Linked DNA regions of Macaca fascicularis. The protein of the gene in region 4 interacts with the protein of the main gene of each other region in a pairwise test. Links are inferred from orthologs where the notes say so. Each region holds a gene or a part of one and is shown on either strand. Other genes may lie near its edges. The genes, in order: FATE1, VAPB, CREB3L1 and GPR25.

Region 1 (7,882 bases), on a different chromosome or scaffold from region 4:
TGGCCTGATTCTCTCAGCATTCTGGGCATTGGCAGCTGGGACCCCTGAAGAAAGGAATGATCAGTAAAGTAGCCTGCCCAGCCTGTCCTCTAGTCTCAGGGACGTTGGTGGCTTGCAGGAGCCTGACTTCCTGGAGCAACTTGATTTGGCTTCTGTCTTTGGACACAAAAAGCCAACTCAATATTTGACTTATTTTTATTCCCAGGAAATCTCTAACTTGCAAGCTTTTTTTCTCATTCTTCACTGGGGCTACCCAATAAATCATTTCAGCAATCAAGTCTCCCTCCCTCTCCAACCTTATTGCCCCCCAATAACTTTCAAACTTTACTGTGGTAACAGTAAAACCACCATTTTCTAACGCTTTCCCTCATCCACCTGAATGTGGTGAAAAACATTGGCTACGCAATTATGGGATTCATGATTCCCTAAAACGGTCAGGTCTACCTCCTCTGCAAAATGGCTCAGTATCCTTTGCAACAATGTGGCCAGCATTTTTCTAGAAGATTCAACACCCACAATGAATGTAGCTTAAAGAATTGGCTACAGAACTGTGGGACTCACATGATTTCCTGGAGCAGTCAGACCTCCCTCCCTCTCCAATCTTGTTGCCTTTTCCCAGCAGCCTTTGCAACAGCATAACAACAATTTTTGTAAAACTTTCCCTTACTCACAGTGAATTTAGCTAGCTAAAATGATTGGCTACAGAACTGTGGGACTCACTTAATTCTCTAGAATAGTCAGGCTTCCCTCCCCATCCAAAATGACTGTTTTCCCAATATCATTTGCAACAGTATAGCCACTATTTATTCTAAAACATTCCTTCACCCATATCGAATGTAGCTTAAAAGGACTGGCTACAAAATGGTCAGATTCACTTTCCTGGATTTCTTTTTTCTTTCTTTCTCTTTCTTTCTCTTTCTTTCTTTCTTTCTTTCTTTCTTTCTTTCTTTCTTTCTTTCTTTCTTTCTTTCTTTCTTTCTTTCCTTTCTTTTCCTTTTCCTTCCTTCCTTCTTTTCTCTCTCTCTCTCTCTCTCTCTCTCCCCCTCTCTCTCTGTCTCTCTGTCTCTCTCTCTCTCTCTCTCTTCCTTTCTTTCTCTTGCTCTGTTGCCCAGACTGGAGTACAGTTGCATGATCTCAGCTCACTGCAACCTCTGCTTGCTAGGTTCAAGCGATTCTCATGCCTCAGCCTCCTGAGTAGCTGTGATTACAGGCATGTGCCACCATGCCCAGCTAATTTTTGTATTTTTAGTAGAGACAAGGTTTCACCATGCTGGCCAGACTGTTCTCCAACTCCTGGCCTCAAGTGATCCGTCCACCTCTTCCTGCCAGAGTGCTCAGATTACAGGCATGAGCCACCATGCCAGACGACTTGACTGGATTTCTTAACAGCCAGAAAGCGTAGGAGCCTCACCTGAGTTATTGTGTGTATACACACACACGCACCACACACACAATTTTAAATACAGGAAGCGTTATTTCACACAATGGATTTACAGAGTGAAATATTTATGTACTCCCCATGCAATATTTGTTTCAGGCATTCTGAACTCCCAAGGTTGCATCCCAAGCATAGGAAAGGATGACCCTGACCTTTCTGTCCTCATTTGCCAGCTTGGAATACAGGAGCTTCCTCCTCCTCACAAGTCAATGTCTAGCCCTGCCTGACCTGGTCAGGCTACAGCCCCTACAACCAGTACTCCCAACCCCAACCTGGCCAACATGTGCTGAGGACCCCATGCAGTACCATTTTCTTGGATCGGGTGGCAGTCATATTCCAAACTCGTTTCGCTGAAGCAGAGCCAGCAGCTTTTTGTTCCAACTTCTGCCTCTTCTGGGAGGCACCCAGGGACCGAGATCCATGCTCCATCATTTCTAGAGAGAAGAACAGAGACCCCAGGAGCACCCATAGAAGTTGTACCAGGGCTTCTTGGGCACAAAACACACCAAAAAGAAGACAGAGTCCCCAGCTTTCTTGGGAATCACTCAGCACCCATTAACCACTGTCCACCAGCTGATCCCAGGTCTCAGTTTGTTCATCTGTTCAAAAGTTAAACAAGAATCCTGAGGGCTCAGCTCGAGACTAGGTTACTCTCCAGTAATCTAGAGAGCAATGACCAAGAACAAGATTCCAGCTATCAAGGAACTGACCATCTGTTTTGTGTATAAGAGTGAATGACAGGTGTAAAACAGAAGGTCTATCCTTGCAAATGCAGACAGAGAGATGCAGGCTCCATAAATGATCAAAACAGGGTAACATAGTGGAAGGAAAGGGCTCCTTCTAGAAAAGTAGGAGACAACAATTGAGGCAGGGACCTGAAAAAAATAAAGGACCCAGCCCTGGGAAATTGAGGGAAAGAGCATTCCAGACAGAGGAAACAGCAAATGCAAGGTCTTTGGGGAAGAAGCAGGCTTGGAGCATTGTAAGAACAAACATAAATGCAATGTGATCTGGATCCCTTTGTGTGCTATAGAAATGGTATTTTCTGTCTATATCATAGTATGAAATGTTTTGAGGAGGCTGATACAATCTTATAGATCATGGAGTCTGGATTTTCCTCCAAATGGCAGGAAAATGAATTCGAGGGTTGGGAGAGAGAATTGATCTCTGGTCTCATAATTTGAGCCCTCTGAGTATTTTGCAACAGACACTGTGGTGGCTTGGACAAGGGGAAGACAGAGGGACCACACATGTTGTTCCCATCCTCCTCCCTCCCAGGGCAAAATGCTCACATCATCTATCCCTTTTCTCCTAGATCCCTTACCATCAACCCACAAATCCTCAAAGCCCGCCCAACACACAGATGTGCAAACACTTCCATGCACACATGCACCTTTCCCAACACACACATGCACAGGTACAGACATGTATCTACACAGTTGGCTGTAGCCTAGGGGTATTTTAGGGGATCCTCACCCGCTATCACCAGGTGCTCTTGGTTTTGCCCTTGGCGTCCATGATTCAATTCTTCTGTCAGGGACATTTCCATCTCTGCCTTGGTGTTGGGAGGGCCTCCTGCCATCACAACCAGCTGTTCACTTGTAAGCTATGGCTAAGGATGTACAGGGTGCCAGGAACAGAGGAGTCACACTCAGAAAATCACCTCTTCCTGGAACAGGAGCTCAAGGAAGATATAGTCAGACCTGGGGGTGGAGCAAGACTCCCTCTCTAGGCTGAGGCCTTGGACTCAGCACTTTCTGTTTCTATTGTATCTTGTTGGCTAGGTCCGTGGCCTTCTCCTTGCTACTCTGTAAGCAACTTAGGAGAAGAGATACAATTCCATGCCTTTGACTGTGAGAACTGCTCTGGCTCATGAATCTCCATATTTAGCCCATGGGGGGAAGGGTAGGGTCTACCCTCCATCATTTCTATGAAGAAACAGGGATTGGCACAGGGTCCAAGAGCCAGGCAGTGGCTACAGCAGAGTTAGGTCCTAGCAATCCAGGCCATACCACACCTTCAGAAGAGATTCTCTGGAGAGCATATCCTACCTCCCCCATCCAGAGTCCCCAGACATGGGAGGTAGCCTTTTTCTGAAGTAGGTCAGACTAGGCAGGAGCCATGAGAACAAAGGGAGAGAAGGGTAAGAGAGGTGGGACCTGACTGCAGCCACTAGAACTCCCAGGGGCCTCAGGCCTTGCACCTTCTAAGTCCCAATTCTCCCTCAGTTTCCCTACTGATTAGACCACTGTGATGGTCAGGTTTATGTGTCACCTGGCCAGGTTCTAGTCCCCAGTGACTCCTTCAAACACTAGTCTAGGTGTTGCTGTGGAGGCATTTTGTAGCTGTGGTTGGCATCTACAACCAGTGGACTTGAAGTAAAGTAGAGACACATCCTCGATGATGTGGGTTGGTCTCACACAATCAACTGAGAGGCCTGAAGAGCAAAGACTGAGGTTTCCCAAAGTAGAGGTAATTCTACCCCAGGACTGCAGTGTCAACTCTTCTTTGAGTTGCCAGCCTGCCAGGCTGCCCTGCACATTTCAGACTTGTCAGCCCCACAATTGCATAAGTCAATTTATTAAAATAAATGTATATATACTTGTGCATATGCAGATATATACATATATACATACATACATATATACATCCTATCAGTTATGTTTCTCTGGAAAACACTGATTGCTACACGACCTGTGGTGAACCCTTCATTCTAGGAAACAACCCCAGAGCCCCTGGGGGAATAGGAGGCTATTTGTGAAAGGAATCAGGACAGGTTTATAAAACGTTCCTTTTAGAAATAGCCTCTTCTTCCCCCAGAGCCCTTGGGTCAGGTGGGATAAAGAGGAGGAAGGAAGGAGGAAAAGAGGAAGGGAGGAAGGAAGGAAGGAAGGAAGGAAGGAAGGAAGGAAGGAAGGAAGGAAGGAAGGAAAAGAGGAAGGGAGGAAGGAAGGAAGGAAAGAAGGAAGGAGGAAAAGAGGAAGGAAGGAAGGAAGGAAGGAAGGAAGGAAGGAAGGAAGGAAGGAAGGAAGGAAGGAAGGAAGGAGAGGGAGTGCAAAGGAAGGGGTCAGAACTAGCTGAGATAGGGCAGCATGGTCTGAGGCTGCCTGTCCCCTGCCCCCACCTCACCTGTCCAGCGCTGGGGCCGAGCTCTTGGGAAGCAGAGCTGATATAGGCCCTGCCTGCATTCCTGGGGGCCCCAAAGAAGCCCTTCCCAGATCTAGTGGAGCAGCTGCGATGAAATTTGAGCTTTCTGGAGGGCCACCTTGGGAGCAGAGAAACTACTGAGTGTGCTCAGCTTAGTGGGATTCAGGAGCCTGGGAAGCCCAGCCAAGGTTGCCAGATTGAGCAAATGAAAATACAGATACGAAGTACATTTAAATTTCAGATAAACAACACATCTGTACTTATACTACATTTGTAGTGTAAGTATTCTCTCTTGTACACTAACCTTTGGGACATATTTACACTAAAAAAAGGATTCATGGGTTGATCTAACATTGAAATTTAGCTGCATATCCTGTATTCTATCTGACAATCTTATCTCACTATGACCTCAAGATTTTACCTCGAGCAAGTTTCTCCCTTCTTTTGGTGTCAGTCTCCACCATGGACAAGCCTCCCTACAGGGTGGCTGGATTGTGAGGAGCACTCAGAAGTCAGCAAAGCTACAGTAGTGTAGGCACTGGCTTGCCACAGGGCCTCAGGCTATGGAGGCCAGATTTCTGTCTAGTTATCAACTGACCCTGGTGGGGCTTCTTGGGCACAGGAGCACAGGGTCCAGGTGCATGTGGAGGCACTGCCCCCTGGTGGCATAAGAATCCACCACCTAAAGCCAAGCAAAGAGGGTGGGAGAATTCCTTCCCAACCCCTGAACCCCCAAGGCCACTCAGAAACCCCAACATCTCACCCCCTTAGCGTGCCTTCCCCGCTTGGATTGAGTGCCAAAGACAACTTGGAGGTGACAGAGAGTTTAATGTGCCTTTGAATTTGTCTCTTAGCATGTTAGCTAATTATAATTTCATAATTGTAATTTACACAGTAATCTCCTTTTGAAATGGCCCGAAATTCGTACTCCAACCATTCTGAAAAGCCCCCTACCCCAAAGTCTGGGTGCTAACCTCAGGGGCCCGAAGGACTAGAGCACCTGCGATACAGAGGGAGATCTTTCAAGTCTTACACGGTGCCTGGGTCCAGGAAGATGGCACAAGGCCAATTGCAGACAACAGACTGCAGAGCCCTAACACTCCAGTGGAAGGCCCTGCTCACCCAGAGGTTCGAGAGATGCTTCTTCATAGGGGAAGGAAGGGTCCAGAACATACCTGGCTTGTATGTGTGTCTATCTGCTTTCAATGTGCAGTGTTTTACATAAATGAGATCTTACAAATCTGAGATGTGTGCCATTGTGCAACTTATTTTTTCAAGTGAACCAGGTGCCTTGGGGATCTCTCCGTGTCAGAACAAATCTACCTCGTTTCTTTTCAGCCCAGCATAGCATTTCCCTACACAGCTGCCTCCCGTTGCTCCTTTATTGACTTGCTCATGGATATTTTGGGTGTCTAGAGCTTTTTTACTTTTAGAAACAATGTAGCACTGAGCGTTCCTGAACATGTCTCTCTGCACACATATGTAAATGTGTTTGCACAGTGGGTGCCTAGAAGTGGAATTGTGGGGTTCTAGGGTATGTGTGTTGATTATTTTGACCTAAAGGGACCAATATTGTCAAAGGAGCCTCCGAAGAGGCTGTACAAAGTGAGGCCTTACCTAGGAGAAGAAAGTCTGTGTTTCTTCCCAGTCTGATCAACAGAAATATTATGCACCTATTTAAAAGGCATAATGGGTGAAAAATGATATCTATCTCATTGTTGCTTTAATTTATATTGCCTTAATTCTGAATAATCTTGAGCAATTTTTCACATGTTTATTGATCTTCTGTATTTCTTTCCCATGAACTGTCTGCTGGAGGGTTTGGATCTTTATTAAAATAAGAGCTATTTTATTAACAGAAAAGAATAAGACAAAAACTCTCCCTCCTTTCAAGTTAAGTATCTCCAAAGGAAACGTATCATCTTTTTCCCTAAGGGGGATCGTGAGCCCAGAGCCTCCACTGGGGACCAAACAAATCCAGTTAATTGCATCCAAGCTTTTGCTGAAACCTAGAGGGCACCCAGCCACCCACGGAGAAGGTGTCCAACTCAGGCTGCTGCCTACCTACCTGCCCATCTGCCCTTGTGTCTGTCTGTCTTCTCTGCCTGCCCCCAGCCAGCCTGATCACCTGCCTCCAACAGTGCCTTCCAACCATTAGCTTCTTCCAGATGTTCAGTCAGCTGAGCACTCTGCTCCAGTTCCCAGCGGCTCAGGGTCGCAGCTCTGTCTGCCCCATGTTCCCACCTCCCTTGCAAGCTGCAGCAGGAGATGTCAGGAACCCAGCCCAAAGTCAGCATATCTGTGAGTGACTCAGAGTCCTGCCACTGGGATATCTTAGGCAAGTTGCTTCACCTGCTTGGATCCTCAGTTTCCCATCTTCACATGGAAATTTTAGGGAGATTTGTGGGGGCTGCCTGGGCTTCAAGGCAAACTCTAGCTGTTCTTCATCTAGAGCAGCTCAGCTCTTACCACTTTCTTATATTGGGGCTTTATGGAAGAGGTCATTCAAGCCAAATGTCTTGAAGGAAAGTAAAAAAAGCCATTGGGTGTGATGACTTCCTATCTCCCAGTCCTGCTCAGAGCCCAGTCTCAGGCAGCTACAGCCCCACACCCAAGCAAATGAGTGCACCTGGATCTTCCAGGCAGCTGAGAGCTTCCTCTTGGCTTGTTAATGAACCTTATGGACCCATAAACAATTCTCCTTCCTGCTCCTGGAAGCAGCTGGTACTGAGGTCATCCCTGGAGCCCCAAAGCCCTCCCTACACCAGAGAGGAAGGGGAAAGGGGACTAGCAGAGTCTTGCATCTCTCCCGCCTCTCCTTAAAGAGGCAGGGATGACAGACAGAAGGACACAGGGTCAAACTGCAGGGACCATAGCTGGCCCAGGGAAGGAAGGCCACCTTGTGAGCAGAGAGAGGGAAATTAAAAGTATCAGGGCCACTTAGGGCAGCCCTTAGGACCCACTTCCATGGGGACAGGGCCACGTTGATTTCCAGCTTTCTGTCTTGAATCAAGATTGACTGTGTGCTAGACACTGGGGATGGAGATGAGGTCCCTGTCCTCACAAAGTTCATGCTCTAGTGAACAGAGAATCAAATGGATAGGAAGGAAGTCCATCTGTCTGTGGGGACAATAGCAGGCAGCTGTTTATGTGGTGGCCATGCCCTTAACCCTGCTGCACTCTGCCTGTCTGGGAGTGTGGTGGGTGCTCACTAGAGCTTGGCAAACCTAAGAAGGAGGGGCCCAAGGGAGATCTGTCCCAAGCAATGTCCCCAGCCTCTGCAGCCTCTGACTGCAC
Region 2 (7,129 bases), on a different chromosome or scaffold from region 4:
AAGAAGAGCTTCACAGGGTATGTCTCAAAGACATCTGGCTTTCCATGTCACAATCTAGACCTGTGTGCCTTCAAAACCTTGATCCCTCTGGCCAGCACAGGTGCCAGCTCCATGGGCAGACATCATTACCATCAACCCTCCCTCCCTTCCCACCTTCCTGCTTCCCTCCTCTCTTTCTTTCCTTCCCCCTCCATCCCTCCTCTCTTTAAAATAATGATTTATAGCCTTCCCAAATGGCTAGTGCATCCCAAGGGTTTTCAGAAATGGGAAAAGCACACTGGTCATGTCCTTCTTAGGTATGCCCTGCCCACTCTGGGTGGTGGGCAGGGCAATGCTAGCAGTATTTTAAGTTGATTTGGTGGCCACCTTTTTAAAGATTATATCTGAAAATGTACTGGCAACTTTTCACTATAAAACAAATGAATATTATACAAGGAAGAGAAAATACAAATTTCTTCTCAAAATTAGGAAAGGTCCATAAACAAACAAAATGTAGGGGTTGATTTATTTCTAAACAGTCAATTCAAGTATTATGCAATCCACCTTCTTCAAAAACTAGCCGGATTTTGTCAAAGCTAGAAGAAGAACAATGTACAAATGTACCACTCTTGTACCATGCTGTCGATTCTGCAGTATTTGTAAACATTCTGTAAGGCAGACACTATTCTCCCTACCTTACAAGTGAGAAAACAAGAACCTAGAAAGGTTAATAGGTTGGTCAAAATTCAGCCAGCTGGTTAAACAGCATAACTGGTCTTCCTGTTCAGGTTTCCTAACCTCAAATCCACTAATCTTTGAAGAGAGTGGGTAAAACCAAGCTTGGCCATGTGCACCTCCGGGGAAAAGGGGAGGCTGGCTTTTGGATAATCTGCACTGCCTGTCCACTGGTATCCTCCTCCTCCTGAGGACTCTACTGACTCACCAAGATGTCATCATGTAGCTGTATTAATATCAAGAGGACTCCCGGAAAAAGGCAGTGCTTTTTATCCCAAGCTATGCACGTCTAATAAATGATGCAGTAGTCCCTCAGCAATACAACTGCAGCAAATGGGGCTGGTCTCCTTTGCTGACTTGCAAGGCTGTCCTAGAAATGCAATGATATCTGGCTTCACCTTGGTTCCCCTCAAGCACTGGGATAAATACCAAATAATAACAAAGGAACCCTTTTCTAAGGTGCAGATATGATCTTGTCTCATCTAGGAAGAAAGTCTACAGACACATGGACATTTTATTATTCAACTACTTTTCCCCCCAAATACATTAAACTTTGAGAATGATGGTACTTTTTATATTCATTCATAAGTGGGGTCATCCTCTAACACTACTGAGGCAGTTTAGTATGACAGAAAGAGCACTGGATCAGGAGCCAAGCCACCAGCTTCAAATAGCAGTGCTGCCATGACCATCCACGTGACCCTTGATGACTATGTCACACTCTATGCCTTACTTCATCTGCCAAAGGAAGGCCACAACCACAAAGTCTTGGTCTTCCTTGTGTAAGCAATCATAGATCAGAACAAAGGCAGAGTTTGCTTTTGCTTTTTAAAACTTCCTATGATGGGGAAACAATGGATCTTCCTGAAAGAGAGACAGAGATGCCGGGCGCAGCAGCTCAAGCATGTAATCCCAGCATTTTGGGAGGCCGAGATGGGCGGATCACATGAGGTCAGGAGTTTGAGGCCAGCCTAGCCAACATGGTGAAACCTTGTCTCCGCTAAAAATACAAAAATTACCAGGTGTGGTGGCACACACCTGTAATCCTAGCTACTCGGGAGGCTGAGACATGAGAATTGCTTGAATCTGGGAGGTTGCAGTGAGCCAAGATGGCACCATTGCACTCCAGCCTGGGCAACAAAGTGAGACTCTGTCTAAAAAAAAAAAAAAAAAAAAAAGGCCGGGCGCGGTGGCTCAAGCCTGTAATCCCAGCACTTTGGGAGGCCGAGGCAGGTGGATCACGAGGTCAGGAGATCGAGACTATCCTGGCTAACATGGTGGAACCCCGTCTCTACTAAAAATACAAAAAACTAGCCGGGCGTGGTGGCGAGCGCCTGTAGTCTCAGCTACTTGGGAGGCTGAGGCCGGAGAATGGCGTGAACCCGGGAGGCGGAGCTTGCAGTGAGCCGAGATCACGCCACTGCACTCCAGCCTGGGAGACACAGCGAGACTCCGTCTCAAAAAAAAAAAAAAGAGACAGAGACATACACCTACACCCACCCATACATATTTATATTTTATATCAGAAAACACACTAACATTGTACAACTACCTACTGAGATTCTTTTATTCAGAAAACCATGCTGCGTTCCCTGTTCTTACTGTGAAAATTGGTAATTTTCATCTACTGACAAATTTGCTCAAATTTGATACGGGCATGGAAATCGAGGCGGGAAAGTAGATAAAACAGGGGAATAAAAGATTTCAGCTGCCCTTGACGTCAACAGAAAAATTTAAACCATACGGATCCAGAGGATATGGAAATGCCAAAATCCCAGTCCCTTCCTTTCTCCAGAGTGCTGCGCTGCAGTTCAAAGAGCATGGGCTTCAGAGCCAGTCAGAATGATCCACATCTTGGCTCTGTCACTTGCTAGCTTCATGATCCTATGACCACCAGTCTACTTCTTAGTAAAATGGAGGTAAAAACGCATCCCTCACAGGGCAGGTAAGAGAAATGATATGAGATAGCACATGTGCAGGTCCAGCACACAGAAGTCACTCAATCAATGCCAGCTTCCACCCTCCTGACTTCAAGATAATAACCTGATTCGAGAGTCCAGATCAGGTCTTGCAGACTCAGAGAAGCACAGGGGGAGAGCTGGCATGGGTACACCATAATGAGAGAGACCAACAGATGCAGGGAATAAGAGTTTGCAGAAATGATCAGATAATGAAACACCTTATATTTTTCCGAAGAGGTGAGTCATTTTTTTTTAGGTGTCAAATGAATAGCCAAAAGTATCACAATCAAAATCTATCATGGAAAAAGCCAGAGAGGTACTCACTTCAAACGAGCAGTAGCTTCTATTGATGCAGAAGCCTCTGTGACAGTGAGTCACCTGATATTTACAGGATAAACACACACTCCCCCAGAGCTCCTTCTTGGCTGGAGAAGTTCTAATGAGCTGAAAGTTTATTCCATTTCTAAAATGCATTTAAACTCCAACCCATCACTGACATCTCCTTAACTCTGAAATCCAATTCTCAATTTGGGCACTTTACCAGCATCTTTTCAAAAGCTGGATTTTGGAAAATATATGCACTCGCAGACAGAAGGGAAAGCCATCAGACATGCACCAAACTGACACCCTCGAGTATATTCCAATTTCCTCAGCCCTCATCTCCCTTGGCGTTCCACAATCAGTAAAGTGCAGTGGCCAATCATTGGAAATGGCATGAGCTTAATGTCAGAAATCATTTAGCTTAAGTAAGAAAATAACTCCATTTAGCTTTCTCCCACAAAGTAAAATTAAGTTTGTTTAGCCCTTTTATATTTATTGCCAAAGGGCAGATTTAATTTCAAGGGAGTGAAAACAAAACTCATTCTGAAGTGAGGTCTAAAGTTATCACTTCAGTTTTGCTCTAACTATTGAGGTGCAAAGGGGCTGTAAGCATTGAAACAAGGAGGCATTAATTATGAAAAACAGGTGACTGGGACCCAGCTTTCTGATCGGGGGTGGAGGATTGTGGGGTGGAGGATTGTGGGGTGGGATGGGGGGGTGGGTGGAGAGAAGTCTATCTTCTTCTTTTGCTACACTGCAAATAAACTTTAAGAAAATCTACTGTCCAGGGGCCTTTTGAGTCCACCCTCCAGGCCTCATCTCCGGACTTACCAGATACATTAATTGAGGCCCCTGCATCAATGATTCCACTGTTGGGCCTCACACAGTACCTACGTGGCGCTGTAGTCTTCACCTTAAAACACACATTTCGGTCTGTCGGATTGCCAAGCTTCAGGTTGGTGGTGACAACATCAGTGAAGGGACCTGTAGAATGAGACAGAGACTGATTGGGGGTCTCATGAGGAAAGTTGAGAAGGTTTGTGGAAAGGAGAGCTATAAATACAGTTAAGGGAAGATTTGAGATCCACAATTATCTCATTAACATGCCAATGGATGAAAGAGATGAGCTGAGGTTAATGTACTACCAGTAACGTCTAATATTTACCATGTTCCCACTATTTCACTAGGTACCTAGTGTAAGTATTCTAACATACAGCATCTCACTGAACCCTCACAACTTTATGATAATTGCTGTTTTGTAAATGAGAAAACTGAGGCTTGGGGGGACAAGTTACTTGTCCAAGTTTTCATGATAGTGGTAGTGAGGATCTGTAACCAGATGGCTTGCATCTAAGGCCAGTTCTTACCCATGCTAAATACTGGTTTCCACAATAACAATATGAAATCTAACAGGGAGAGCACAAAGGACTAAACTCGGTCCAAAATGATTATCTAAAGCACAGTGTGCCAAGAGGAGCAGATAGAAGAAAGACTTTGAGGTGTTAATGGTCTATAAACACAGAAACTCTCAACATTATAGTGTTGCCACAGAAAACTTTGTATCACCTTAGGCTATAGCAAGAAGTTCAGAGTCCTGCTGGGCAGTCCACACCTGAAACATTACAGACAGTATTAACTACTGAGGCTACCGGGAGGGTTCAAACAGGCTCAGTGGCCTGAAGATACTTTTTATTACTATTATTTATTCACTTCCTACTTTATTAGATTTTTTTAATTAAAAAAGTAAAACATGCTTCTTAAACCAAACAATAAAAGATGTATAAACAGGAATAAGCTTTCCTTTGTCCCCTGAGATAACTAATATTAACAATATGGGAGATCTTTCCACATCATCTATGTTTACACAAACAATATACATGCACACATGTGCAAGGGATGGGGGCTAAGAAATAATGAAATAATACTATTCCTATTACTCTGAAAGTTGCTTTTCTGCATTTACCCCTCTATGGTGGACATGTGATCTCTGTGTTTATTAGTCAGGTGGCTACAAAAACTGAGGTCCTTTTCAACACCTTTTCAAATTTACATATTTTTCACCTGTAGATAAGTATTTCTGTGTTTCCTCTAGGCAAGTTCTTTACTCTGGTCTTTATATTTGCAAGGAAATCAGAAGTGAAGGTGGGGAAAGGGTGTGTGCTTGTGTGTTCACAAACAAATACGTAATGTTGACCTAACAAAGTCATTCAAATGTATGTTCTGAAAAACTTCTCGATGAGACTCGAAGCTCCTAAGGACAAGGATTATGCCTTACCCATCTCTGTAGCCCCAGCACCGTGGCTGCATGAAATAAAGGTCTCAATCCACATATTCACCAAGAAAAAAACCACCCGTGTGTGGATTATCTCCAGCAAAATTAAAATCTCAGGCTGGTGTCTCTACTCTTGAGATGCTCAGGGCATGAAAAAAAAAAAAAAAATCAATCTGATATGGGCTTACCTTAATACAAATTAAGAAATCAAAAATGGTGATAAGGAAGGAAGGAAATGGGACTCAATCCCAAAATCAAACGACAGCCAGTTCTGCTATGAGGCTTATTCTGAAAACATAAATTTGATCCAACATTACTCATGTGCATATTAGAGGGATATTCTGGGCATAAACAATTTTCATATTTGTTTCTGCGTGATTTTGTCTGCTATCAACACTAGGGGAACACAGAAAACTGCTCCTTGCTGAACCCAACCGCAAACAAATACAGAAAACTTACAAGCACACACACCTCAACCACCTACGGGATACCTCAGTTCACCTTGTGGGTAATGAGCCACACCTATCCACACCTGGTATTACAACTTTCCATATGATTTCAGGTAATCCTCCTTACTTCAAGAAAACAACTCTTCTGATGTCCATATCCACAGACAAACTTTGGGTCTTTTTCAAGAAAAATGCCATATCTGCTGTAGCATTTGTGGTTTTACCAGCACCCTATCTTTGTGCATGCGTCACCAACAAAGGCTTTGAGTGCTGTGCTCCTAACCACACTTCCCTCAAAAGCCCTGTGGTTTTTACTGAGCTATTCAGTATAGTGTGGTGATTCCAGGAATGCATTACAGCAGAACTGACTATACTACTGCATCATCTATTGTTTTGTGAATTATTATTACAAACACTATTCTCATTCCACGAGCAGTGACATCTTCACAGATGCAACACTCCATGAGAATTTCTCCATTTGCTTACCTTTCTATCACAAACAACTCTATCACTACACTCTAAGTCAGCTCCCCATTGAAAACTAAGAGTACAAAGGAGGCCAGGTACCTGTGGCCCAAAAGGATTTTCAGCTACAGTAAGGGAGAGCCAGATGCTGATGCTGCTCCATCCTTGCATCAAGTTCTTGGCATAAAGGGAGAAACAGGACACTTGGTGCTGAAGCAGTGCTGGGGAGATGATAGAGGCAGCACTCTCCGTGACTACCCTTTTCCACTCTCCAACACAGGCAGTCTGACTCATAATAAAGACGGAGAAAAAGCTGTCCTCCAAGTCTCTCTGCTTGCTTAAGGAAGGGATCACTTCAGCACTCACAGAGTAGGGGGGAAAAGACTAGCTATGCAAGCTCTGATTTTCTAGGGTCAAAGCAGCAATAAAACACACACACAGACAGGCATAAAGGACACACAAACCTATGAGGGCACAAGCAAATCACCATGTACATCCACTCCCTGACCCTCATCTAAAAACTGCAACTCAGAAGAACTCCACATAAGCACAGCAGCACCGCAACACTGGGGGAAGGGAGAAAAAAGTGGACAAAAATGTGCACGACATAAAGAGACACCTGAAATTAGGGTGAGCTTTCAAATATAAAGCCTAAGGATGACAGGTACTCAACGACAGTTTGAATGTGATTCAGAAACTCTCAGGCCACAAAGCGTTCTAAATCAAAGCTTAATCAAAGCTTAAAGTGACTAGTTTCAACAAGATTCTGCCTCAAAAACATGGAAGTATCTTCAGAGCAGAATGCCAAGAATTCATAATGGCCCCCAAAACATCCAAAAATACATAGATCTTTTTTTCTAAAATGGTTTGAAGTATAGTGAGAGCAGCAAACCAGGATGCTGGCAAGATTCCACTGTGATGAAATCCAGAATACTTGCTAGTTTCCA
Region 3 (7,129 bases), on a different chromosome or scaffold from region 4:
TTTTTGTATTTTTAGTAGAGATGGGGTTTCACAGTGTTAGCCAGGATGGTCTCGATCTCCTGACCTCGTGATCCGCCCGCCTCGGCCTCCCAAAGTGCTAGGATTACAGGCATGAGCCACCGCGCCCGGCCAGGAATGAAGTTTCTTTAGCCCCACTTTCCAGAGGAGGCAACTGAAGTTCTAGGCACTCAGGGAAATTGTCCTCCCTGAAAGGAGGATGCGAACCCAGGTCTGCCTGGCCCTGGGATCTGCCGCCCCTCCGGCTCTGCAGCCATGACCTCATAGTATGTGTGAACAGCAGTCCCTGGAACTGTGCAATGCGCCAGCTCTGCAAACCAGCCTGCTCCAAAGCCATCTGCCTGCTGGGATGTGTCCTCCTCCTCTCCACCCAGCCCAGGTCCTGGGCCTAAAACCCACACTGCCTTCTCTCCAAGGGGTTCATTCATTCCCTCCTCTCACTGTGGCTTTGTCCATCAACCCCAGCTCTCTTTCCACTCCTTTCCCTCCAGTGGCTTTTGTGGCCTTGGAAAAGCAGACACATGGCTCTCCAGACCTTGCATTGCTGCTGCCCACCCACCTTTAGTGACCACCCTGTTCTCTCCTCCTCAGCCTGCACGTGTCCGGGGAGGAGCTTTCATTCTCCCTGTCTCTACTTCCTCTTTCCCTAACCCTCCCCACACCAGCTTCCTCCCCTCAAGGCCCTCAATGTCTAGCTCATCCTCCCTGCTATAGCCCTCCTTCTTGAAACTCACTCTTTAATCTTCCCTCCTCTGACCTCCCATCTGTTTCCTCTTCCTCCTCCTGTCCTGTCAGACACGTGGTAATTGGTAAGTGACTGACTGGTAAGTGATGAGGGACAGCCAGGAAGTTCCTCTGGGGGTCCACCTGAAGGATTCTCTCCCTCTGAAATCCACACTCTTCTTTGCTGGGCCCTCCCCTGGTTCTCCTTTTGCCAGCTACTGTGATGTAGCTATTCTCTCCTCCGTGAGCTCAAAGAGACTGAGTGTGCTCATTTCATAAGCACAGACACTGCTGTTTCATGCCCTGTCTCACAGCCATGGCTCAGTAAGCGCAAAATTGCCACTCCCATTTTCTAGATGAAGAAATGAAAGCTTAGGACAATTTCTTCATTTCTAGATGAAGAAATGAATTAAGACACATGCTTCAGGTTACACAGCAAGTGGCAGTGCCAGTTACGACGGACTTAACATCCACATGCTCCTAACCACTGTACTTTACTATCCCCCTTGGAAACGGTAGATATCTGAACCCACACCACCACTACCCTTCCTCTGTCCACGGTAGACATTATTAATGGACCATGACACTCCTTCCTGTCAATTCTGAATGGTGCCTCAGAGTCCTTCTTTTTTTTGAGATGAGTCTCACTCTGTCACCCAGGCTAGAGTGCAGTGGCGTGATCTTGGTTCACTGCAACTTCTGCCTCCCAGGTTCAAGCGATTCTCCTGTCTCACCCTTCTCAAGTAGCCGGGGCTACAGGCACACGCCACCATGCACAGATAATTTTTGTATTTTTAGTAGAGATGGGGTTTCACCATGTTGGCCAGGTTGGCCTCGAACTCCTGACCTCAGGTGATCCACCTGCCTCGGCCTCCCAAAGTGCTGGGATTACAGGCGTGAGCCATCGTGCCCAGCCCAGGGTCCTTCTTAACACAGTGTTTCAGGCAGCTACCACCACCTTACTGGAAATGGCCTTTGAACTGAAACTCACTTGCTGTCCCTATCATGAGGTACTGATGGTGCCTAGCAGATGCCGCACAAGCACTAGCACCATAATGCATGGGGCACAGGGCTGGAACATTCCTGTTATCCCCTAAACCCACCTCCTGCAAGCCACTCCTGAAGCTCTCTGGGAGCTAGGCTGGGCATTGAGAGCTCTGTATTTTAGTCCCAATTCTACCACAAACACTGAGCAAAGCATAAACTCTCTTTGGGCCTCAGTTTCCCCATCTGGAAAATGAGGCAGAATGAGATAATGCCGACCCCACACTTGGCTTCTCTCTTATGTCTGGCTTCTGCCTGGACACTGGGGCTGGGGCAGGGCAGCCCCAGACCAGGGAGCTGGCATGACAGGTGGGCACTCACTCTGGCTGGCCGTGTAGATGCTGTCTGCGGCCATGGGGTCTTCCTTCACAGTCTGGGAGCCGGAGGAGAACTCGGGAAGGCAGGGCACGAGGGAGCCCAGCACCAGAACAAAGCACAAGGCTGCCACCTGGTAGCAAAGAGACAGTGGCATCAGATCTGGGGCAAGGAGGGGCTGCGGCCCTGACCACCCCACTCCTCCTCTCCCAAACCAACAGGCACAAAAGTCTCAGCGTTTTCCCAAAGAAGCAGCTCCTCCAGCTGACCACTTCCTCCCACACGTGGGGTCTCCCATCCTCTCTGGGGAAGGCAGGGGCCGCTCAGGCCATCCCAGCCCATTGTAGAGGGGTCGCCACAGGCAGTGCTAGAAGTAAGAGGGAAGTGGCCAATGTGGAGTCACCCTATGGGGTAGAGGAATCAGGAAAGGAAGGAATAGGTGCAGGCGGGGCTTGGGGCCGGGACGAGGGAGGGGGACACATCAGCACGTCACGTTCTCAGCCGGCTTCTGGGGAGTCTGGCTAGCGGGAGGTGCTGAGAGCCAGGGAGCCCACACTACCCCTGCCCATAGCCTGGCTCTGCCGTCTGACAGCTCGAGGGTTTTAGAGGGCCGGGGCCTGCTGAGCTAGGCAGCAAGAGGCTGGCCATTTCCAGAAGAAGATGGAAGAGCGACTGGAAGAGGTCTGAAGCACACCCTTGGAGCCTTCCGGGTTTCCAGGGGCTTCCTCAGCCTTTTCACTGCCATCCGTTCCAGAAAGAACCATGTCCGTACTTCCCTGAGTCTCCCCAAGCCCTTCCCTGCACAAAGCCTGTGGAAGCCACCTCCTCAAGGAACCTGCCCAGTTGTCCCCTAGCTGGGGCCACGGGAGTCACCTACACATCTACACTGTGTTAACCAGTCGGGGACCGGTGTGAGGCAAAAGGCACCACGGGCTCGGAGAAGGAGGCTGGGGTCAGCTAGAACCGGCCCACCAGGCGCCAGGATGGTGTACCCTGGTGATACTGCCCACGATGTTACCGATCCTCAAAGCTCTGCCCAACCCTGGAAAATGCCAGCCTCGGAAAGAACTCTCCTCCTGTGGGCCTGTGGTGGAGGGAGCCACACCTACCATGAGGCAGGTCCCAGTCTGGGTGGCGGCCATCTTGTAAGGTCTGGAGATCTTGTTGGTGACCAGAGTCTGGAGTTTCTGCAGCTGCTGGAGCAGGGTCCTGAGGAGGGCACAGCAGTCAGCTGGCAGGCTTTGACCCCGCAGGCATCTCTGCCTCCTGGAGCTCTCCTAGGGGGCTGGCTCCAGACATGGCCTCCACGCCAGGTGCCCGTTTCAGCCAAGATAGGAAAGGTCACCTCCTGAGTGGCTCCTCTGCAGAGTGGCCTGGCACCTGGGGCCTGCCTCATGGTGACTGGTTGGGTCACCCTGTGGAAGCTCAGGCCTGCCCTGTGATGCTCCTGGCCAAGAGGGTTGGAGGAGGGAAGGTCTACCCCCAGCTGCGCGGAGGCCAGCCTTCTTTTGCTTAACAGACACCTGCCACAGGTTCATTGACCTTCCCTCCCTGGCACCCCCAGCATCCTGAGCTGATAAGAAAGAGCTGTTTGGCACAGTGCGTGGTATATAGTGAGTGTCTAGTAAATGGTAGCTATTGTTTTTGTTAGGTTTTTTGTTTTGTTTTGTTTTGAGACAGAGTCTCGCTCTGTCGCCCAGGCTGGAGTGCAGTGGTGCGATTGTGACTCACTGCAACCTCTGCCTCCCAGGTTCAAGTGATTCTCCTGGCTTAGCCTTCTGACTAGCTGGGACTACAGGCGTGCGCCACCACGCCCAGCTAATTTTTGTATTTTTCGTAGAGACAGGGTTTCGCCAGGCTGGTCTGGAACTCCTGACCTCAGTGATCCATCCGCTTCGGCCTCCCAAAGTGTTGGGATTACAGGTATGGGCCACCGTGCCCAGCCATTTTTGTTTTATTGCTGAGTTTTTGTTTTATTATCAAGGCACTTCGTTTATTTATAGATTTCCACGTCAGTCTCCTTTACTAACTGTGGCCTCCCTGAGGGTGAGGACTAGGTCCCACTCAGTGTGGAATCTTCTGGGTGCACACAGAATGCGTTCGGCACAGGCTTGGTGGGAAAATGTTTTCTCTCTCTCCACCCAACCGGGCACATAGGGGTTGCAGTTCCCACAATGTACAGCAGGTGGCGAAATAGCTCCAAGGGCCTGGACCTACTTTGGGCCAGAAAGGAACCCCAGCCAGAGACAGAGGGGTGGGGTGGGGGGTCAGGTGGGATTCTCCAGGCCAATCAGGGAACAGAGGAGTGGCTGGATCCCGCTGGAGAAGCTGAGGGAGAAGGAAGGAAAGAAGGAAAAAGTCTTGTGTTGAGCACCTGCTGCATATCAAGGCTGTTGTCTAGGTTATTGTAATTAATCCCAGCAAATAATTATTAAAGACCTACCACAGGCTCATGGCTGGGTACTATCAGGAATTTGGAATGAAAATAATGGCAGGGTGTGGTGGCTCACGCCTGTAATTTCAGCACTTTGGGAGGCCGAGGCAGGAGGATTACATGAGGTCAAGAGTTCAAGACCAGCCTGGTCAACATAGCGAAACCCTGTCTCTACTAAAAATACAAAAATTAGCCGGGCGTGGTGGTACATGTCTGTAATCCCAGCTATTTGGGAGGCTGAGGCACGAGAATTGCCTGAACCCCAGAGGTGGAGGTTGCAGTGAGCCGAGATTGTGCCACTGCACTCCAACCTGGGCAACAGAGCAAGCCTCTGTCTCAAAAAAAAAAAAAAAAGAAAGAAATAAAAATTTAAAAATAAAAATAATAGAAGAAGACCAGGTGTGGTGGATCATGCCTATAATCCCAGCACTTTGGGAGCCAAAGCAGGAGGTATGCTTGAGCCCAGGAGCTGGAGACCAGCCTGGGCAACATAGCAAGACCCCGTCTCTACAAAATACTTAAAATTAGCCAGGGGTGGTGGTGTGTGCCTGTGGCCCTAGCTACTTAGGAGGCTGAGGGGGTGGGAAGAATCAAGAGTTTGAGGCTGCAGTGAGCTATGATCATCCCATTACGCCCCAGCGTGGGCAACAGAGTGATACCCTATCTCGAGAAAATAAATAAATAAAAATAATGAAAGAAGAATAAAAGCTAACATGAATTGCACATTCCTAAATGCCAAGCATCAGGCTGGGTCCTTTATTCGCAGGATCTCATTAATACCCTCACATCAATCCTATGAAGTAATGTTTCTTTTCTTTTTTTTTTTTGAGATGAAGTCTCACTCTGACACCCAGGTTGGAGTGCAGTGGCGTCATCTCAGCTCACTGTAACCTCTGCCTCCTGGGTTCCAGTGATTCTCCTCCCTCAACCTCCTGAGTAGCTGGGATTACAGCCATGCACCACCACACCTGGCTAATTTTTGTATTTTTAGTAGAGATGGGGTTTCACCATGTTGGCCAGGCTGGTCTTGAACTCCTGGCCTCAAGTGATCTGCCCGCCTTGGCCTCCCAAAGTGCTGGGATTACAGGCGTGAGCCACTGTGCCCGACCCTAGGAGATAATGTTTCTATCATCCCCATTTAGACGAAGAAACAGGGGCCCAGAGATATTTAATGATTTCTCCAGAGTCACAAAAATGGCAAAGCAGTATAAGAACCCAGAGCTGTGACTTTACGTGGCTGCTACCTGCCAGGCACTGCGCTGCTGTCTCTACACTCCTGTTTCTCAAACTTCATAGTGCATGTGAATCACCCAAGACCTTGTGAATGTGCAGTTTTTAGCTTAGTAAGTCTGGAGAGAGTTCTGATAGTCTGCATTTTTTTTTTTTTTTTTTTTTTGAGATGGAGTCTCGCTCTGTTGCCCAGGCTGGAGTGCAGTGGCCAGATCTCAGCTCACTGCAAGCTCCGCCTCCTGAGGTTTACGCCATTCTCCTGCCTCAGCCTCCCGAGTAGCTGGGACTACAGGCGTCCGCCACCACGCCCGGCTAGTTTTTTGTATTTTTTTTAGCAGAGACGGGTTTCACCATGTTAGCCAGGATGGACTCGATCTCCTGACCTCGTGATCCGCCCGTCTCGGCCTCCCAAAGTGCTGGGATTACAGGCGTGAGCCACTGTGCCCAGCCTGCATTTCTAACAAGCTCCCAGGCGATGCTGATGTTGCCTGTCCGGGGCAACTGGCTTTGAGTAACAAGGATTTACACCAGTGGTTCTCAAACTTGAGGGTGCAACCTAATTACCTGGAGGACTTATTAAAACGCAGGGCGCTGGGCCCTACCCCCGGAGCTTCTGATTCAGTAGACCTGGCATGGGGCCAGAGAATAAGCACATCTACTAATTCCCAGGGGTTGTTGTTGGTCTGAGGACCACAGTTTGAAAACACCTGCTCACTTAAGCAACTCCCCCACCCTGCCAGGTGTCTAGTAGGTGAGGAAAAATGGGAACGCAGGGAGTGGCAGGATGTAAGTGGCCCAAGGCTACAGGGTGTGTTTCTGGGGTCCCTGTTATCCTAAACTTAGTTCTCTCTCCTCTCCCCTGTCTCCCAGAGCTATGCAAAGCCAGGCACGGGTTGCAGAGGGGCAGGGGGCCAGGTTGGATGCAGGAGGCACCACCCACCTGTTGGCATTCTCCAGGGTCTCTACCTTCTTCCACAGTTCATTGTTCTCAGATGTAAATGTTTCCACCCTGTAGGGGCCAAGCAGGCACAGGCTTAGGGGCAGCCCCCTCGGCCCTGCCCACCACCATCACACTCCCTGTGCCCCCAGCCTCTGCTGCCCCATGAGGGAGGGCCTGGGGAGGGCAGGTCAGGGGAGGGAGTGGCGCATGGATTCCCCACCCCTACCAAGCTGCTTACTTCTTTTCTAGACACTCCACATACTCCTTCTTCTTACGACGGCTCTCCTGGGCCGAGATCTAGAGGGGGAGGCCCGAAAACAAGGGTTAGCACTGCCACATATTCACTTCCTGGGCCCCCCAGTTTCAGAGCTGGTATGCCAGGGGAGCCCATCCACCAAGGAAGCCCTCTGAAGCCCCAGGGTGGC
Region 4 (7,762 bases):
CCTGTAAGGGTGTGTTTCTATTAGTTGACTTGTGTGTGATCCTGTGGGGAGTCCTCCTGAAGGGTGAAAGAGCAGTCTCCTGCAGTTGGCCTTGGTCACTGAAACCGGGCTGGGCACCCCGGGAGGCCAGGCCCAAGGCAGTGTCCCTGGCTCTGACCTTTGCTGCTGCTTCCCATCCAGACAAGTTCAGTAAGGCCCACGGACAGCACCCAGGCCTCAGCAGAGAAAATTCAGCATATGCTGTGGGCCACAGACTTCCCTTGGGTGTGAGATGATGGCCCAGGAAGCAAGTAGCTCTGTGTTTTTTTAAATGAACAACCTACTTCTACTTCCCTTCAACCCCCTTCCTATACTTCCCTCTTGGTCTGCTTGCCCCATTCTTTGTTTTCACCTGGCGGCTTTTCTGCTGTTCATCTCTAGCTTTCAGGATCACTCACACTCTCTGAGCCCCAGACTGACGTGCGCCCAAGGGGGTAAAGTCCAGCAATACCGGGTCTGTCTCTGATGGTCTCTGGGCTCTGGCAGGCAAGCACTGCCCCTGCTAGCCTTCTAGGGGAGGAGGCTGCAGCCCCCTACTCCACCCCGGATGTGGGCACCACTCACCAGCAACCACATGCTCAGACATTAGAAAAAAGGCTCTGGGGTGGGTCTTCAGGGGAAAACCAAGCCCAGAGGCCGAAATGCCTTTGAAGGGAAGGTCCAGACCATTCATTCCCTAGCCTCTTCTCTTCCCTGTGCATCTTGTAATTGGTGTGGGAAAAATTCTTGACAGGTGCAGCCTGAACACTGCATACCCAACTCTCTGTGAGCTCTAGGACCATTTTCTTTTGAGATGGAGACTCACTCTTTCACCCAGGTGGGAGTGCAGTGGCTTGGATCTCAGCTCACTGCAACCTCTGCCTCCCGGGTTCAAGCGATTCTCCCACCTCAGCCTCCTGAGTAGCTGGGACTGGTGTGTGCCACCATGCCTGGCTAATTTTTGTAGTTTTAGTAGAGACGGGGTTTCACCATGATGGCCAGGCTGGTCTCGATCTCCTGACCACAAGTGATCTCCCCGCCTTGGCCTCCCAAATTGCTGGGATTACAGATGTGAGCCACTGCGCCCGGCCTCTAAGACCATTTTCCAAATCCTTCCTGGGGATCTCCGTGTGCTAGAGGGACCCCAAGTGAGGGTGACCTTATGTCCCAGTTTGCCCAAAATAGTCCTGGTTTATGGCCCAGGTTAATTCTCATAGTGCCCCTTTCACTCTCAGAAACATCCTGATTTAGATGATAAATTATTTCATGACTACCTCAAACCAACATCAAACTGAACACATACGCACATGCGCCTCACTGTTCTTGGCAGTTAAGGGGACAGTGTCCATATGGTCCCTAAGCGGAGAAACCCCAGGCTTATCTTTGACTCTTCTTTGTGAGACCTATGATGCTACAATTACCTCCTGAATACATCCTCTCCTTTCTGTTCCCACTGCTCATGATCTATTTCAGACACAAATAATTACAACCTACGGTGGGGTCTCCCTGGCTTGAGTCTCTCCCTTCTCCACAGTTCTGCCAGTGATCTTTTCAAAACACAGATTAATGCCTCCTGACTCCCCATGACCTATAGATTGAAATCCAAATCCCTTCATGATTCCTCCTGCTTCATCTCCTGTCCCCACTTTCCTACCCTAGGCTCTGGGAGACTGCTTGTCCCCTGAAAAGCCCACATTCCTACTCATTTCAGTATACTTGTTCCCTTCACTCCCTCCTCCGAGTCTGACCCTTTCTTCTCTTTTCTGCTGCTCTTATTTGACTTTCAGCTCATTCCTGGGACTGATCTCAAGTGTCATCTCCTAGAAGGCCTTTTCTGATTTAGCTTTCCCGTCAAAAATAATCACTCCCCCTCCACTAAACCCTAAGAGGGCTTGGCTTTTAACATTTACTACAATTTGGACTCCCGGCATGTCGGCCATTGCACATTCTGCTTATGTAACCATCTCTCCTGCCTATGCAATAAACTGCTAAGGCCAAGAATGGCATCTCTCGCAGTGCCTGAAACAGTGCCTGCTTCATGGAGGAGTTCATTGTTAACAAGTCTGAATCGAACAAAATTGATAATCCACCTCAAATTTTCCACACCAGGTTGCCCGGCACATCAGCCACTCATTCCTGGGGACACTGGGGACAGACTCAGAGGGCACTGTGACATCAGTTCCACCACAATATCTTGTGGAAGGGATATCTGCTAAGAAGAATTCAGATGTAATTGGCTGCATGCCTCCTTCAGGAGGAAGAGCAAGCATTCCCTCCCCCATCCTCTCCTCCTAAGGGCCCACCGCCCACTCAGGGTCAGACTTCATTCCCCCTCTTCTTTAGGTATCCTCCCCTTACTCTCAGTTTCTCATTTCACAAAGGATCTTGCTGCCTCCAAGCTCCTGACTCATAATTTAGGACAACTAATCTGGTGTTTCATTAGGTGTCATCTTTTGAACTGAGCTTACATCTGCGTCTGGCTTAATAGATAGCTTTTTTAGGCTGGGAGAAGACAGGGAAGAGGCAGATGTGAATCCCAGGCTTGGCCCCTGTCCAGCAGGATGATCTGACTACACCCCTTCCTAGATGCCTTAAAACCCTTCCACTCCGCTTCATGAGGACCTGTTTGGGTCAGAGAAGCCACTCACAGGGTGAAGACACAAACCCCACATTTCAGGATGCTAACAACGGTTTGAGTGCCCAGGGCGGGCTCCCCGACCCACCCAGATCTGCTGTGTCCCGGCAGTGGACTCTTTCCTAGGGAACAGGTGGATTTGGGGGGGGGGGGGCGTGCCTTAGGCCCCATACTCATAAAATCCCCTGTCTTCTCCCCTCTAAAACAGAGAAAACAGCAGCCGGTGGGTGCAGGTGGGAAGGGGTGAGGTGGAGGCTGAGAAGAGATTAGGGCTCTCTGGCACCCACCACCTCTTGCAACACGACCCTGAGGCAGTGGGGCAAGTATCCCGATTTCACGAACAAAGAAACTGAGCAACTAATAGAGGAATGGGCCACGCTCCTACTGGGAGGCGGGGCAGGTCTCCCAGCCCTGAGGACTTTTCCTCCCAAGACTTAGTTGTGAAGCCCCTTTTGCCTATTACCCCTCGGGTCAGCCCCAAATCGGAGGCCACCATCTCTCCCACAGGAGCCTGCCCCTCCCACCCCATCCCCTCCTCCCTCCTGTCTTTCCTGCCCACCCATTTGCTCGAGCTGGGGTGGCAGGAAGGGAGGTGCACGACACGGGCATGAAGAGCAAACCCCCTCCTGCTCAGAGCTGCTGCCGCCTGAGCCCAGGGCTGCACCCAGCGCAGGCCTCGTGGCCAGGCCATGGACCCCACAGAGCCCTGGAGTCCCAGCCCGGGGTCAGGGGCCTGGGACTACTCGGGATTGGACGACCTGGAGGAGCTGGAGCTGTGTCCGGCCGGGGACCTGCCCTACGGCTATGTCTACATACCTGCACTCTACCTGGCGGCCTTCGCCATGGGCCTGCTGGGCAACGCCTTCGTGGTGTGGCTGCTGGCCAGGCGGCGCGGCCCACGGCGGCTAGTGGACACCTTCGTGCTGCACTTGGCGGCCGCTGACCTGGGCTTAGTGCTCACACTGCCGCTGTGGGCCGCGGCGGCGGCGCTAGACGGCCGCTGGCCGTTCGGCGAGGGCCTCTGCAAGCTCAGCAGCTTCGCGCTGGCGGGCACGCGCTGCGCGGGCGCACTGCTGCTGGCTGGCATGAGCATGGACCGCTACCTGGCCGTGGTGAAGCTGCTCGAGGCGCGGCCCTTGCGCACCCCGCGCTGCGCGCTGGCCTCGTGCTGCGGCGTCTGGGCCGTGGCGCTGCTGGCTGGCCTGCCCTCCCTGGTCTACCGGGGGCTGCAACCCCTGCCTGGGGGCCACGGCAGCCAGTGCGGGGAGGAGCCCTCCCACACCTTCCAGGGCCTCAGCTTGCTGCTGCTGCTGCTGACCTTCGTGTTGCCCCTGGTCGTCACCCTCTTCTGCTACTGCCGCATCTCGCGCCGCCTGCGCCGGCCGCCGCACGTGGGTCGGGTCCGGAGGAACTCGCTGCGCATCATCTTCGCCATCGAGAGCACGTTCGTGGGCTCCTGGCTGCCCTTCAGCGCCCTGCGGGCCGTCTTCCACCTGGCGCGTCTGGGGGCCCTGCCACTGCCGTGCCCCCTGCTGCTGGCGCTGCGCTGGGGCCTCACCATCGCCACCTGCCTGGCCTTCGTCAACAGCTGCGCCAACCCGCTCATCTACCTCCTGCTGGACCGCTCATTCCGAGCCCGGGCGCTGGACGCGGCCTGCGGGCGCACCGGCCGCCTGGCGCGAAGGATCAGCTCGGCCTCCTCGCTCTCCAGGGACGACAGTTCCGTGTTCCGTTGCCGGGCCCAGGCCGCGAACACTGCCTCGGCCCCCTGGTAGCTGCCCCGGGCCGCTGGAGGTGGGCGACAGCGGAGCACCGAGAGGAGGGGAGAAGTCCCGGGAGGGGACCCAGATGCGCCTGTTCTGGCGGCAGCAAGCTGCTCCGGCCGGCATCGCATTGCCTCGCGCGCTGCCTGGACTCCCAGGGTCTCCTCCATCAGCTTCCCCGGAACCTCAGAGCAATTGAACTCCCCTAAACCAGGCTCCTGAGACTAGCTGTTCCCTGTCAGCCTGCAGGGTACAAGATAAGTGCTATGAGATGGAGCAGACAGCAACTCGGAGACCCGCAGATTCACCAAGAAGACAGAAGGGAAGGGGATTTCCTTCTCTGCCTCATTGGGAAGAGCACTGACCAGAAATCGAACCCAGACCCCTAAATGCCATTCTGGTTTCTGGCTGTGCTTTCTCCCGTCTCCCACAATAGCTTTTGCTTTCAGAGAAATACCTTCTCCAAGTCAGGCCCTCTGCCCTTCTCACTCACAAAACCCTGGTGTTGAATCTGGTGACACTTCTCCCCCTACGAAGCGGTAGGACTCACCTGGAAGTTGTTCTGGTCTTTCCCTCTCAACAGAAGGTCCTGAAATCGCTCACCAGGCGTTTCTTAAGGTCTCCACCACTCAGCCAGGAACCTCAAAATCTTCTCTGTGAATTCATCTTTCTCAATAAACAGACACTCCTGCTAGCCCTGTCTTCACAGTCGTCTTTGCTTGCGCAGTGGGAGTGAAATGCGTATCAGGAGGCGGGTCGCACACTGGGTGAGACAAAACTCAACACAGTAGTTGAGGTTGATCTCAGGATGATGAGGATTTGGGGTGGTGTCTGGGAGCTGAATGCTGGCTGCACTCTGCAGGTGCAGTAATCCCATAGGAGGAAGCAAATCATTTATTCTTATTATTTTTAAGGACATTTCACATTTTGAAAGCTACAGAAAGAAAATATATTTATATAAGGGCATCTGCCAGCCGGGTGTCACTTCTGAGAGAAGATGTGTCATTTTGGATTTTCAAATATATACCAGGCCTTTTTTTTTTTTTTCTATCTTTTTTCAGACCTTCCATGAACTTTTTTCAGACCAGTATGAACTGTGGGGATTAGCCATTTTCTGACTCTGTCATTTCTCCTTTGAGGTTTCTGTAGGGTTTGGAAATTCACTGTTTATACTTTTGATTTAAGAGGATTTGGCCTAAAGACATTTCAGTCAGTGTACATCCTAGCCAGATCCCCACAGGCCAGTCTGGATGTTGCAAGCTCTGGGGGAAAGGGTGGGTGTGCACGCGGATAAGCACCTCAGTGCTAGGTTGGGTCTGAAGCCTGGCATTCTGTCGCAGGCTATCCATCCCATCCCCCCATCAAATACCCCTGTATTCTCTTCAGCATTTGGAGCTGCTGGATTAGAGCAGATTGAACATCGGGTCTCCTAGATCAGCCTGCCAAAAAGTGCATTTCTGCATGTTCCTCCCATATACTCCAAGAGAGGCAAGCCTTGCAGCCTGTGAGGTCACCTCTGCCAGCAGGACACATTTCAGGCACTTTGGTGTTTGAGAGCTCGGTTAAGTCTTGGCACTTCTTATCCTCACTATTGCTCTCTGAGGCAAGAAATTATTTTTTCATGGGGCTGAGACCCCAGAATTTTCAGGGCAGGGAAGCTGACTCTGATCTGGGTTTGTGTGTAACAAGATCTCAGAATAGAGGAGGCACTTTTCCAGGCTATTGGGACTGAGTCCCCACCTCCACCCCTGCCAGGTTGCTGCTTCTGACTTACTGACTAGCTGAGTTCCCTGAAAACAGACGGGAAGAAAGAAGGTTTCTCCATGCCCTGGTGGGTTTTTGGCTCCCCTCTTGCAGTAGCTATTGAAACTCAACATTCCCCCTGCTGTGGAACTCTGTGCGGGAGAGAGAGTTTCGCCCTTTGTTTGAATAGATCACGGAATTGATCTACCATGTGTCCTTTGGAAATGTTCCCTTCAATACAGACAAAAATGAAAGAGGATCAGTGAGCTCCCATCTCCCACTGGGGAAGATGAGGCTCAGATTCAGCAAGGAACTGGTTAAACGAGCATTCCCGCATATGTGGCTGGTGGGAGTAGATTCCTTTAGAAAGCAATTGTCAATCTTTATCAAGAGCTTTAGAACTTTTCACATCCTATTTCTTTAAAATGTTTATACCCTTCGACCCTGTAGTTTTGCTTCTGCCATTCTCTTCTAATGCAACAGTACTAAATCTAAATTTTAACGTTTCTGCACTGATTTATAGAAGTTTTTTTGTTTTGTTTTTGTTTGTTGTTTTTTTGAGACAGGGTCTTGCTCTATCACCCAGGCTGGAGTGCAGTGGCGCTATCTCAGCTCACCGCAACCTCTACCTCCTGGGTTCAAGCGATTCTCCTGTCTCAGTCTCCCAAGTTGCTGGGAATACAGGCATGCACCACCACACCCAGCTAATTTTTTGTATTTTTAGTAGAGATGGGGTTTCATCGCATTAGCCAGAATGGTCTTGATCTCCTGACCTCATGATCCGCCCGCCTTGGCCTCCCAAAGTTCTAGGACTCCAGGCGTGAGTCACTGCACCCGGTGGCTGAGTTATAGAAGTTTTTAAAGAGTTAAACCTCAAAAGAAACCACTTTAAATGTCCAACAATAGTGTAATGTCTTTATTAAGATGAATGACTATTATGCAAATTTAAGATGTTCTTTAAAGAGAGATTGAAAAATGCTGACGATAACTTAAAAGGGAAAAAAAGGTAAAACTGTATCTGTTAAACGCCTCCACACACTTCAAGTCTGGAGGATGTAAAATGGTTAGCACTGGTTTTGTTAAGTAAAACAACATGCTTCATAGTCCTTCTGACAAAAAATGATCTTTTGCTCTTTTATTTCTCATAGCTCAAGTTTTGAACATTATATCTCTTTTCTCTAGGTGCTAACGGAATGCTGTCGATTTATTTCTTTGCTTCTTGCTTGTCTCTCCTGTCAGAATGCGAGCTCCATGCATGCAGACAGTTTTGTCTGTTGGTTCAAGGCTGTGTTCCCAGTGCCTGGAACATGCCTGCACATCTCAGGCACTCACTAACTACCTATTGAATGAATGATCATCAGGACCATGTCATGATATGAAATAATGTCATAGAATGTGAAATGTAAAAGGAAGGCTATTGCATTTTATGTATAACAGCTATGTTTTATTAAAGGACTTGCAAAAAAGGCTAGGAAGAAATACAATAATCATTAAGGATAATGATTGTGTTAGAGTAAGTGGATTTTAGATCCTTTTTTCCCCTCCATTTCTTTACTTTTAAATTTTCTATGAACTTTTTTTTTTTTTTTGAGACAGAGTCTTC

Evidence for each region.
Region 1: the proteins of GPR25 (region 4) and FATE1 interact in binary tests that used the Homo sapiens proteins (3 or more experiments, as listed by UniProt). The two-hybrid records come from large-scale screens. The link is inferred for Macaca fascicularis from reciprocal best matches to the Homo sapiens genes GPR25 and FATE1.
Region 2: the proteins of GPR25 (region 4) and VAPB interact in binary tests that used the Homo sapiens proteins (3 or more experiments, as listed by UniProt). The two-hybrid records come from large-scale screens. The link is inferred for Macaca fascicularis from reciprocal best matches to the Homo sapiens genes GPR25 and VAPB.
Region 3: the proteins of GPR25 (region 4) and CREB3L1 interact in binary tests that used the Homo sapiens proteins (3 or more experiments, as listed by UniProt). The two-hybrid records come from large-scale screens. The link is inferred for Macaca fascicularis from reciprocal best matches to the Homo sapiens genes GPR25 and CREB3L1.

The regions. Positions count from the first base shown.
Region 1 is NC_088395.1:157,776,260-157,784,141, reverse strand, and holds the start of FATE1 (fetal and adult testis-expressed transcript protein), read right to left. Parts: upstream 3,991-7,882; 5' UTR 3,021-3,990; coding exon 2,915-3,020; intron 1,873-2,914; coding exon 1,745-1,872; intron 1-1,744. UniProt on the Homo sapiens protein: Involved in the regulation of endoplasmic reticulum (ER)-mitochondria coupling. Negatively regulates the ER-mitochondria distance and Ca(2+) transfer from ER to mitochondria possibly implicating it in the regulation of apoptosis.
Region 2 is NC_088384.1:114,483,460-114,490,588, reverse strand, and holds part of VAPB (vesicle-associated membrane protein-associated protein B/C), read right to left. Parts: intron 3,981-7,129; coding exon 3,828-3,980; intron 1-3,827. UniProt on the Homo sapiens protein: Endoplasmic reticulum (ER)-anchored protein that mediates the formation of contact sites between the ER and endosomes via interaction with FFAT motif-containing proteins such as STARD3 or WDR44.
Region 3 is NC_088388.1:19,539,000-19,546,128, forward strand, and holds part of CREB3L1 (cyclic AMP-responsive element-binding protein 3-like protein 1), read right to left. Parts: intron 7,002-7,129; coding exon 6,943-7,001; intron 6,774-6,942; coding exon 6,705-6,773; intron 3,310-6,704; coding exon 3,210-3,309; intron 2,234-3,209; coding exon 2,107-2,233; intron 1-2,106.
Region 4 is NC_088375.1:58,607,684-58,615,445, forward strand, and holds GPR25 (probable G-protein coupled receptor 25), read left to right. Parts: upstream 1-3,285; 5' UTR 3,286-3,342; coding exon 3,343-4,428; 3' UTR 4,429-7,279; downstream 7,280-7,762. UniProt on the Homo sapiens protein: Orphan receptor.